2 linked regions of the Tribolium castaneum genome follow. The protein of the gene in region 2 purifies or fractionates together with the protein of the main gene of each other region. This does not show direct contact. Links are inferred from orthologs where the notes say so. Each region holds a gene or a part of one and is shown on either strand. Other genes may lie near its edges.

The links. Proteins that work in one complex are often made in the same cells at the same time.
Region 1: the proteins of eIF3h (region 2) and eukaryotic translation initiation factor 4B purify together in Homo sapiens (affinity purification with mass spectrometry; 3 studies listed by BioGRID and IntAct, with this or other methods). This does not show direct contact. The link is inferred for Tribolium castaneum from reciprocal best matches to the Homo sapiens genes EIF3H and EIF4B.

What each region holds. Positions count from the first base shown.
Region 1 is NC_087400.1:562,328-567,832, forward strand, and holds the start of eukaryotic translation initiation factor 4B, read right to left. Parts: upstream 2,803-5,505; 5' UTR 2,655-2,802; coding exon 2,645-2,654; intron 2,525-2,644; coding exon 2,390-2,524; intron 2,200-2,389; coding exon 2,018-2,199; intron 1,718-2,017; coding exon 1,595-1,717; intron 1,516-1,594; coding exon 1,317-1,515; intron 1-1,316. Other genes in the region: Tusp (tubby-related protein 4), read right to left, coding at 5,450-5,505. UniProt on the Homo sapiens protein: Required for the binding of mRNA to ribosomes. Functions in close association with EIF4-F and EIF4-A. Binds near the 5'-terminal cap of mRNA in presence of EIF-4F and ATP.
Region 2 is NC_087398.1:6,459,661-6,465,680, forward strand, and holds eIF3h (eukaryotic translation initiation factor 3 subunit H), read right to left. Parts: upstream 3,103-6,020; 5' UTR 2,953-3,102; coding exon 2,875-2,952; intron 2,779-2,874; coding exon 1,840-2,778; 3' UTR 1,797-1,839; downstream 1-1,796. Other genes in the region: SP555 (SPRY domain-containing SOCS box protein 3), read left to right, coding at 272-1,024; SelT (thioredoxin reductase-like selenoprotein T homolog CG3887), read left to right, coding at 3,246-3,400, 3,447-3,576, 3,623-3,946; vkg (collagen alpha-2(IV) chain), read right to left, coding at 4,540-4,962, 5,013-5,127, 5,180-6,020.

The sequences.
Region 1 (5,505 bases), on a different chromosome or scaffold from region 2:
TTTCACGAAATTTAAAATTTTCAATTTTTTTGCTAAAATTTCCTGAGTAATAATACACTTAACTTCAAAGAGGCGAAAAAAAAAATTTTTAAACTCACTCTAGTAAATTTTTATGGACTTCTACATGTCTTAACAACCCACAAAAGTTGTTTTTAGTCCACAAAAAGTCCATATGTTCGATTTTTTGATGTTTGATTTTTTCAATTTTCGTCGCAGTTTTTGTCGATTTTGGGTACCCGGAACTTTTGTCAAGCAATAGCTCCGGAACTATCAGAGATAACCCCATGAAGTGTATTATCGTTGGAAAGCTCTTTAAATTATCTATCTTTTTCAAAAAAAATTATTGTTCTCCGACTAATAGTTTTCGAGCAAATTGGAGACAAATGCAAAAATTGGGAAAATTTTAAAAAATTCATAACTAAAAAACTATTGGGAATTTGGCAATTTTCTCGATGCCAATCGATTCCCCGGATCATTTTGCATAGGAATGGATCAAAATAGTTCCACTTTTTCGAATAGTTTAGCCAAAAATGAGAAAATAAAAAAAATTAAAAAAAAGTTAACACCCCCCCCTTAAAATCGGTCAATTTTTAAAGTGTCTCTAAATCAAATAAAACCGATTCTATCTTATAGATTTTGATGTGCTCTTTCCAATCTAAAAAAGCATTTTCTCCTAACTCTTTTAGTTTGGCCGTAATCGGCGTTTGAAAATTGAAAATTTTTTTGCGAGATATCGCCTTGAGTCCTATGCCATTTTGTAGAGTTTTTTATTCCGGTTGTCCTCCATTTTTCCGTTTCTCGATAACTCTAATAGTTTCGCCGTAATTAGCGGTTGAAAATTGAAAAAAAGTGAAAATGGAAACCTTTTTTTGCGTTTTTCTCGGAAACTGTAAGACTTAGAGCAACGAACAAAAAAATATCTGATAGCGCTTAATTTTAGCTATTGTTTCGACCAAACCCGGAGCCGCTCCGGGCAACGGTTCCGGCTACAGAGGCGATCAAAGTTTTTCACTAAAAAAATTCATAAAAAAAAAACTAAAATTCGTAGAGCAATGCGGTTTGTTCGGTTGAATTCTACGGCTCATTTTACATAATATATCAATTTTTCACACGAATTAAAAATTTAAAAATTTTTGCCTAAATTTAGGGTGGCCATTTGTCATAGTGAAAAATTTTATTCATTAAAAAAATTCATAACTCGAAAACTAAAAGTCGTAGAGCAATGCGCTTTGTTCCATTGAATTCAGCGGCTCATTTTCTGTATTATGTAGTATACCTACTGTACTATTAAAACAAATAACAAAATATAAACCAACCATCACGCTCTCTATCTCTGCTGAATCCTCTCCGCTCCATGTCTGAATTTTCCTGTCTTGGACCCGATCTCCAGTCCCCAAATGACGACATGTCACTTCTTCCACCACGATCTCGGTTCATGTCCATACGGCCACCTCTTCTTTTGTCATTGTCGTAATCTGTGGCGACGTCGATTCGTATCCGTCTATTCTTGATTGTCTATTTTTTGTGTTTTGATTTTTATTTCAATATTTTTTTTATTCGAATTTTTATTTATTTATTTTTTTGATTTACTTACAGTATCGGGAATAACCAAGGCATTTAATAAACTTTCTCTATCTTCGAATTCTACGTAACCGAAACCTTTTAATCGGGGCGCTTCGCCGGGTCTTTCGTCTTTAGGGATTCGCATGTGCGAAATCTGAAACAAAGGTTATTTTAAATTCAAAGCAAAATCTTACTTAGTTGAAAAAAACATTAAAAAAATTATTATTATTATTATTAAAATCGCACAATAATCGGAAATCTGTCAAGTCAAGATTTCCAAAAATCGAAATTTTGCCATTTAGAGTCCCTTTATTGGACAATATAGGAACTCTACTGCCACCTATTGGTGAAAAAAAGTATCAACCATGTCTATAACAATAGTTTAGTTTAAATTATGTATTTTTAAATTTTTAAAGACCTAGTTCAGGGAGGCTTTTCTGTTTATTATTTTTACCTTCATGTTCTTGAAAAACGCCGCAATTTCGCTCTCGTCGACATCATACGGCAGATTGGTCAGATATGCGATAAATGGGGGCTCCTGTGGAACTTTATCAATAATATCGTCAAAGTCCCGCGACGCCTTGGGCGCTGTGGGCAACACAACACTTGCTTTGGCCGAGCGTGGGTCATACACATCTGAAACCGTAAAGGTCAATTATCTGGATCAAACCTTGAGGCTAAAAACGAATTTTGACACCCGAAAAACAAGCCATTCCCACTTCAGATTGAATTATTAATAGAATTTCAAACAAACGGCAACCATCGCGCACAGATCGATCGCCAAAATGCTTCCACATGCACAGCTTAGAGGTTAAGTACACTCTACCATGATTATCCTCCACTTCGTCGGCCCAATTCATCGTCGACTTCCTTATGGGCATGGTGGCCACAGGGCCGGGCGTCTCCTGCAGGAAGTCGCTCAACGCCAGCGTTTTGCCTTTGTTCTTTTTGCCCTTTTTGCCTGGAATTCGGAAAATTTCAGCGTACAATAAGGTCGCCACTACACGCGGTCTGCACGGGATTCGCGCTCCCAGCGCGTTCCCAAAGGCGGGACAAGGGGGAACATGTTGGGGAAACTTACCTGAAGCCATTGCTAGTATTTACAATAACAATAAACAGTTTTTTAACAATTTCAAATTTAATTTATTGTAAAAGCACTGTCACTGACGTACTAGACGTAGAAAATGTCAGATTCTTGACATGTCAACGGACGCAGGGTGGGGGCCACGACAGCGCCAAGTTCAAATTATATCCAATAATCGGCAAAAAATAATCACAAAACGACTTGTAGTCCAAAATTTCGGGTTAAAATTGTGTAAACACCCGAATAAAAACACTTGGTTAAACATTTTATGGCAATAATTCACCTAAAACGCAAATACTTTCAGTTCAAAAGTCGGCGAATTAGCTCGAGAAAAAATTTTCTTCCACTTTTTTTTCAATTTAATTCTCTAATTTTTTACCAGATTTCGTCAAAAGATACGGGGCGTATAAGTTGATTCTACAATTTTAAAATTGTTTTTACCTTTTTTGTGACTTTCAGCACGTTTTTGACCGAAAATGGACATAATTTCTCTAAAAATCACCAAATTTATGTATTTTCTAGTCAAAAATATTGGACGTGCGCAAATCCTGCTGGATTCGCAGTGGCCATGATTTTTATTAACAATGTTTTTCAATGTTTTTTCGTTTATTTTTTTATAATTTAAGAAGTAAGTCATCTAAGGATTCAACGCGAAAGTTTGAAGTTATGTTTGACCTTTACGTTTATCTCTTTTTCTCTCAAAACAAAAGTATTTTCCCTTTATTATAATGTGCTCTTACGTTTACAATTTGGCGCCTTTACGTACTTACCTTTTGCCGCATTATTTTCTTATTTCTGTCAGTTTTATGCTCCGCTTTACGTTTAAACGTCTATGTGTTCTCTCATTTTCTTATTTTTGCTTACGTGTTGTTTCCTTACCTTTTCCAAACTTTTTTTCATAGAAAAATTTTTACTCTGATCCGAGTTCGAACCCCGACCTCCTGCGTCGTAAGTGGCGCTTATACCACTAGGCCACCAAGGCCCTAGGTCCTGACCGTGTTTTGCAGATATTTTAACACAAACTTTTTGAATAAATCAACATTACAAACTATATAATTGCAATAATTTACCTAAAACGCAAATACTTTCGGTTCAAAAGTCGGCGAATTAGCTCGAGAAAACATTTTCTTCCACTTTTTTTCAATTTAATTCTCTAATTTTTTACCAGATTTCATCAAAAGATACCGGGCGTATAAGTTGATTCTACAATTTTAAAATTGTTTTCATCTTTTTTGTGACTTTGAGCACGTTTTTGACCGAAAATGGACATAATTTTTCCAAAAATCACCAAATTTATGTATTTTCTAGTCAAAAATATTGGACGTGCGCAAATCCTACTGGATTCGCAGTGGCCATGATTTTTATTAACAATGTTTTTCGGGACTTTACTAAACAATCTCAGTTAACTAAAAATTTTTAGACATAAATTAAATGTTTTCGTTTATTTTTTTATAATTTAAGAAGTAAGTCATCTAAGGATTCAACGCTAAAGTTTGAAGTTATGTTTCATCTTTACGTTCATCTCTTTTTCTCACAAAACAAAAGTATTTTCCTTTATTATGATGTGCTCTTACGTTTACAATTTGACGCCTTTACGTACTTTTACTTTTTGCCGCATTATTTTCTTATTTCTGTCAGTTTTATGCTCCGCTTTACGTTTATACGTCTATGTGTTCTCTCAGTCTCTTATTTTTGCTCACGTTTTGTTTCCTTACCTTTTCTACACTTTTTTTCATAGAAAAATTGTTGCCGTGATCCGGGTTCGAACCCCGACCTCCCGCGTCGTAAGTGGCGCTTATACCACTGGGCCATCGGGCCCCAGGTACTGACCGTGTTTTGCAGATATTTTAACACAAACTTTTTAAATAAATCAACATTAAAAACTATATAATTGCAATAATTCACCTAAAACGCAAATACTTTGAGTTCAAAAGTCGGCGAATTAGCTCAAGAAAACATTTTCTTCCACTTTTTTTCAATTTAATTCTCTAATTTTTCACCAGATTTCATCAAAAGTTATCGCTTATTTTTAAGGAAAAATTACCTGAGGATTCCGAATTTGTGTCCATTTTGTTCTAAAAATTGTAGTTTTGGAGAGATTCAACTAAAAAAAAAAACAAACAAAAATTGATATATAATGACTGCAGTCCTTTTCGCTAGCTAATTAGACAAATTAAACACAAAGAATAAAAAAAAATGTCTTGTTTTGGGAGAGGACGGGTAAGAAAGCGTCTCTTTATTTCCATAAAAAAGCAATTTTATTTATATATGCACATACAAATAGGTATCTTACGAACAATGTTTTATTTTGGTTTGTCCAAACTGGAACCAACACAAGTTGAGTTTTAGAGAAAGTACTTACAAAAAGTTTATGTCACACATAACAGATAACAAGAAATTAAAGCGTTAGCATGTCCATTACAAGCCAAACAAAAAAAGACAAAGCGCCCGATTTTGTCAGACTTGTATAAATTTATCAAAAATCAAGTTTCTCAAACTTCGACTTTTAGAATATTTTAGTCAAATATTAGTTCCGACTAATATAAAAATAGTGTGCCTCAGCCACCGGTTGTAATTTTAGTAAGTTTTTTTTAAATCGGACGGCCAAAAAAGATCCTTCTACAAAACGTCAAAAACACCCACATTGTGGTACGGAGAAATCTCTGAGACTATTAGTATCATTAGAATCTTACCTATAAGCTTGTACTGTTAAATTTAATCTTCATTGTATTTGGTCGGCTTAACGATCGAAAAACATGGCTAAATTGGCACCGTTTTGTCAACAAGATATGCTTCCACCACCTACTTGAGTCTTTGCGTGACGTTAGCTAAAGCCACTGCGAACGCCTGAAGCGCGG
Region 2 (6,020 bases):
GATATGGATGGACTAAGGAATGTTATCTTCACTATTTTTTTTTAATTTAGATGAATTCCTGTACATAGTGAGCCACATTAAGGGTTGAAAAAAAGGTGGAGATCTCAAATAAACTGACTCTTTCGTGTATAAAATTTATTAAAAATACGTATTATATTGCTATTATTTATCTTCGACACTTGGGTATATGACGTTTGCGATTTCCAGCGTGGAGGACGTGCCCCCCGCGTGGGAGGAGTCCTCCGCATAGCAATCGAAGCGTTCCGACTCCATGGAGTCGGAACCGGTCCCCCAGCCCCTGCGGCACGGCTGCGACGACCTGTGGACGTGGAACCGGTGGGAGCGCAGCCCCGAGGTCCGGCTCTACGGCAACAACTTCCGCATCGCGCACTTCCACCCCAACTGGAGCAGCGGCACGGCCGGCGTGCGGGGCACCCGGGTGCTGAACAACGGCCGCTACTTCTGGGAGCTGCACATCTCGCGGCGCATCTTCGGCACCAGCATGATGTTCGGCATCGGCACCAAGAAGGCGCGCCTGCACGCCGACTCCTTCACCAACCTGCTCGGCGAAGACGACCACGGCTGGGGGCTGTCGCACAAGGGGCTGCTGTGGCACGGCGGCCGCTGGACGCACTACACCAAGCCCTTCCGGGAGAACATGGCCACCAAGATCGGCGTGCTCTTCGACGGCATCGCCGGCACGCTGAGCTACTACAAGGACGAGAAGTACCTGGGGGTGGCCTTCCGGGGGCTCAACGAGGTCAAGGAGCCCCTTTACCCCATTATTTGCTCCACGGCCGCCAAGACTGAGATGTATCTGGATTCGATGAAGAGGGACTTCGTCAATTTGCAGGACAGGTGCAGGGCGGTGATCGTCAAGAGGATTAGGAGTAAGCAGGATTTGGAAAAATTGTTCGTTCCGACTAAAATTAGGAGTTATTTGGCTGAGGCGATTGTTGACAGTGTTGAGCCGTTCAAACCCGTCAATCACAACACGATTTCGATTAATGTCGGGAATATGTAGGCGTTTGATTCGACAAGTGAATCACGTGGATAAATAAAAGGCAAACTAAATACTTTTATTGTTGGTCCACACTGTATATGTATTTGTACCAAAAGGTTTTCTCGGTACGTGTGTATAGAAATGTAAAACCGTGGATTTGTCCATGTGCCATTTTAAAATTCTGTAAATACGATAAATGGGACGACGCCAGTGGTGAATGTTACCTAGAGTCTAGTCGTAGTGTTAAGCTATTTTATCAATGTAAAATGGGGAATTTTTTCAAATGAATTAATCAACATTTTTATACTCATGACACGATTTTTCTTATTGATTGAACTGCTAATAGCGTAATACGAAACGATTTATTGTGATTGATTATCTAGTCTTGTTTTGTTGTTGTTTTTCGTGTGTTGTTTGTTATTGGTTTGTATGAGTTTGAGAAAGTTGCACAAAAAAGTGTGTACATTTTGGCCAGTTTGTGCAATAGAAATGTAAATAAATAAAATTCATTTCTTTAGGTTCGTAAGACTGTAATGACTAAATTGATGTTTAGGGCAATTGAATACATTATTTTTTAAAAGCTGTGTCCTTTATTTCAATCAAAAAACAACAAAATCAACATAAACGATGAAAAGGTTGCGAATATGACTTTCTCCACTGTTGGTTTAGTACCATTTTTTAAGGGGATGATTAAACGTTCAAACGTAGAAATTTCACAGAAGAGACGCCACCACAAAACCTACTGACTGCGCCAATTAAGCTTTATTACGCCTGGTTTAAATAAAACCCAAACTCATTGTATATTATTTTATTGTAAAACAACGTAACAAAACAGTTCAAGGATTAGAATTCGCCTCCTTGGCGTTCTGCAACGCTTGCGTAATATACAACTTAGCCAAACTCTGCGAGCACAACTGGGAAATGGCCTGACTATACGTATTAATCTGTCCCGCGATAATCATCGGGTTCAGCCTCGGGGGCACCGGATGTGGCCTAAACAGCTTATTAATGTCCTCTTCGGGCAATGGGGGCTCGTCTTTCGCGGCCCTAGCCGCATTTTCCTGCGCCCTCTTTTGCAAATATCTGTGTTTGTCTTGCTGTTGCCGGCTGACCAACTGTTGGTATCTATTAAACTTGATCGCTTCTTGGTTGAGTTCGTCAACTCGGTCCATGAGGCAGCGCAATTGCCCCTCGAGGACGGAGGCGGTTCCCAAATCTAAAAATTTCGAGCCTTCTTCTTCCGGGACAAGTTCTTGCAATTCGGACATCATGATGTTGGTCAAGGCGGAGTTTTTAATAACGAAGGGGACCTCGATGAAGAGGTTCTCGTATCCGACTTTGAGCTTCAAGAGGGCCTCGGGCGTGAATTCGCCCTCCTTGTACATCTCAATGGCTTGAGGCGTCAAACGGTAGGCTTTAAGTGTGAGGAACCCGCGCGAGGATTTTTGAGTGTCGTAAATCACAACGACGGATTCCTCGATTGAGGTTTGGTAGTGGAATTGCGATTCGAGAAGAGGGAGGCTGAGGAAGTTCCCGACGTCGGCGCTTTGGTACCACCCCACATGGAAGTGGTCGACGTTGACGCGTCGCAGGCGCCGCATCATCGCTAGCTGGTACTCGTCCTCGTCCATTGTCTCGTCGGTTTGTTTCGGGAATGGGAAACAATTCGTGATTTCCAGCCGGTTTTCAACGACAAGGCCGAGAAGGGCCCCCTGGGCTATGTCCATGTTAGTGGTCGATTCCTCATGGCAGTGTTTTACGATCTTCATGACGGCCTGAAAGAGGTTAGGTTCCGTATGTTAGGTATTAATTACTAACTGAGGTAGCCAAAGTGTGACTTTTGGGTTTAAATAAACTGAAGGGATATTTACCAAGCCGTCGGCTTGCACGTAAGCAATCGTCGAGTCATTTTCAGGCACACGCCTCGAAGCAGCCCCACGAGACGCCATTTTAAACTGCCAAAAATACCTGCCAATGTAGCGCAAACAAAAACTCCACAATTGCTACAAAAACACAATTTTCGTAAAAATTGCCAGCCGATAATGGCCTTATTTAACGATTACGTTGTTTGTTACCAAATTTTGTAGCAGCTAACACAATCTCGTGTTTTTTGGACGTGAAATAATTATTATATTAGTGTTTTAGGCTGATCTAGTCGGTGTCTAAATTCCCCTACGTTTCCACCAGTCCCACCTGTCATTGGAAATTTATCAGCTGACGAGAGCATTAGAAAGCAAAATAAATGGCTGGTTTAAGACAAATATCATGTTTTTGGTATTTAGTGGTGTTTGCGGGGCTGTGTTTTCTCGAATCAAACGGTAACGTAGCAGCTGAAGACGTCCTCCCGTCGAAGCTAAGTCAAAATGTTGGGGCCCCAACCTTAAAATTTTTGTATTGGTATGTTCCCCTAGCCCCAATATCATAATCTAATTATTTAATTTAGTTATTCGTGTGGTTACCGGAAAACGTTCGAGCAGTACGTAAAAATCGTTGGGGACAAATACCCTTTTATAGCCGTTGATGGCCAAAATTACGACCCCCCAGGCTTGAACATGTATTTGGCCAGACTTATTGTAAGTATGATATAATGAGTGAAAGTTGATGATTATGCGTTTTCAGGGCATCGTTAAAATGGTGATAATCGTGTGTATTTTGGGGGCTATTAACATATTTGAATACATTAACCAACCACAGCCTTCATGGTGGATTTGGTGCACAGAAAACAAGCTTTATGCTTGCATGATGCTGTTCTTTGTGTGTAATATTATCGAAGGACAGTTGATTCAATCGGGGGCTTTTGAAATCTCACTGAATGACGTTCCTGTTTGGTCCAAACTGGAGACGGGCAGGATACCACAACCTGCAGAGCTTTTCCAAATCATCGATAATCATATGCAGTTCACTGACAGCAAAATTGAACTGAGCAACGGATTCCCGAAGTAAAGTTACTATAAATTTCGAAAATGATTGTTTTGTTATCAGATTGTTCTTTTTTAAATTTGTTGTGAGTCTGGTAGTGTCATTCTATAATTTTTTGTCTGGTCACTATCACACAGCGTTCAGTATGTTTGAATGTATGATTTATAAATAACTAGATTTGTGATAAGTAAAAGTTGTACATAAAGAAATTGTCTTCTTATTTGATACCTAATAAAACCCAAAAACTCATCGTTTTTATGATTTATTCATTTGTTACATTACAAAATCATTTGGCAGTGTTTAATAGAAAGGCACATAAAATATGAATCACATTTTCCTGTCGTAAGCCTTAAAACTAATTAGCACCTTTGAGATAAAAAAGATCAAAAACAAGCAAGAATTCAAGTATTAAAAAAATAAATTCTATACAAAGAGCCACTGTCGTAATCGCTTAAATAAAATTAAGAACCTAAATCCTTACAAGTAAAAAATATTCTAATAGGATTTGTGTTTGAACACGGCGTACGTTCCTTCTCAAGGACAAATGTTAACATCAAATCTATGTTACAATTAATTTACACATAATTACAAAGTTAATAACTGTTATGGCACGTCGATCACGGCGTATTTTGCGGTCTCCTGTGTCTCAATCTCTGCCTCAAACGCCTCCTCCTATTCTCTTCCAAGTTCCTGTAACTTCCTGGTGGATAGCCTGGGGGCCGATACGGGGTCCCGTATGTGGGTCTTGTGATTCGACTAGGGGTGACAATTGCAGTGCGACTGGTGTACCGTCTGCGGATGCAAACGGCGCATCTGCTGACTCTTGAGGTCAAATAGCCGGCTTTGAGAGTCTCCGAACGCGGTTTTTGGAACATGGCTGAATCCTCTATGGTGGCCAGCCAGTAGGACAGGATGGTGGTGTAGTAGTTGCAGCGGCCGTGACCGTGGCATTCGATGAAGGGTTTGGGGCGGAACTCTTCGAGGCATGAGCCGGGGGAGACGAGGGATTGGCCTGAGCCTTCGGCACCGGCGTCCACGTGCTGCAATATATGTTAAACAAATGTGGGTTCGAGGGGGTGAAGAGAGTTACCATAAGGAAGCTGTATCCGGCCCAGAGTTCGTCCCAGCCGTTGGGACACTGTGGGATGGTTGTCGATTGACTGTGGACGGCGATGACACGTGTGACAGATTCGCAAACGGAGCATCTGAAAGCAAAACGGTTAAAAATGTACAAAAATAGAATATGTTCGTTCATACCTTGAAATATAGCGTCTGACTTCTGGTGCTGGGATGGGTGTCATCATTGCCGGCATTGGCTCTGTCGTAGACAACCAGTAACTGTACCCATTGTTCTGTGCGTAGTCGCAAACATCGTTCAAATTACAAAACAGGAACGGCATAGTATTAAATCTCCTCAAACAACTCGCTGGCGTCCCCAAATCTTGCCCCATGGCCTTATCATTCCCCATAATATGTAACAACGAATAGCCGTCCCACAATTTAACCGTATCTCTAGGACACACTGGAATTAATTCTGACTGCGAATGTCTCGTAAAGAAAAATCCTCGACTTTTGGGGGCCGGTGGTGGCGGTGCTGGCTCGCCCCTAACCCCAGGTGCCCCTCTGGCTCCTTGTAAACCTGGCAATCCTGCAAGTCCCGGTAATCCCGCCATGCCCTTAGGTCCTTCAAACCCTGGTAATCCGTCAATCCCGGCATCACCACGCATCCCTTTCCGCCCGATCAAACCAGGGAATCCGGGTTCGCCCGGTAAACCTTGAAATCCGGGGAGTCCGTCAAAACCGGGTAAACCGGCGTCTCCTAAAGGTCCCGGAAGAGCGTTAATGGACCAGTCTCCCCGATCTCCTTTCGGTCCTTTGACTCCTGACGCACCAGGGTAGCCTGGAGGGCCGACGTCTCCGGGAAATCCTGGAAGACCTTCTTCACCTGGCGGTCCAGGTGGCCCCGTTACGCCAAAATCACCACGTTCTCCTTTCGTTCCGTTCAATCCAGGAGCGCCCCGATAACCAGGCTCGCCACGCTCACCTTTGAAGGTGATAGCGGAAAATCCGTAATCACCCGGAGGACCTTTAAGACCAG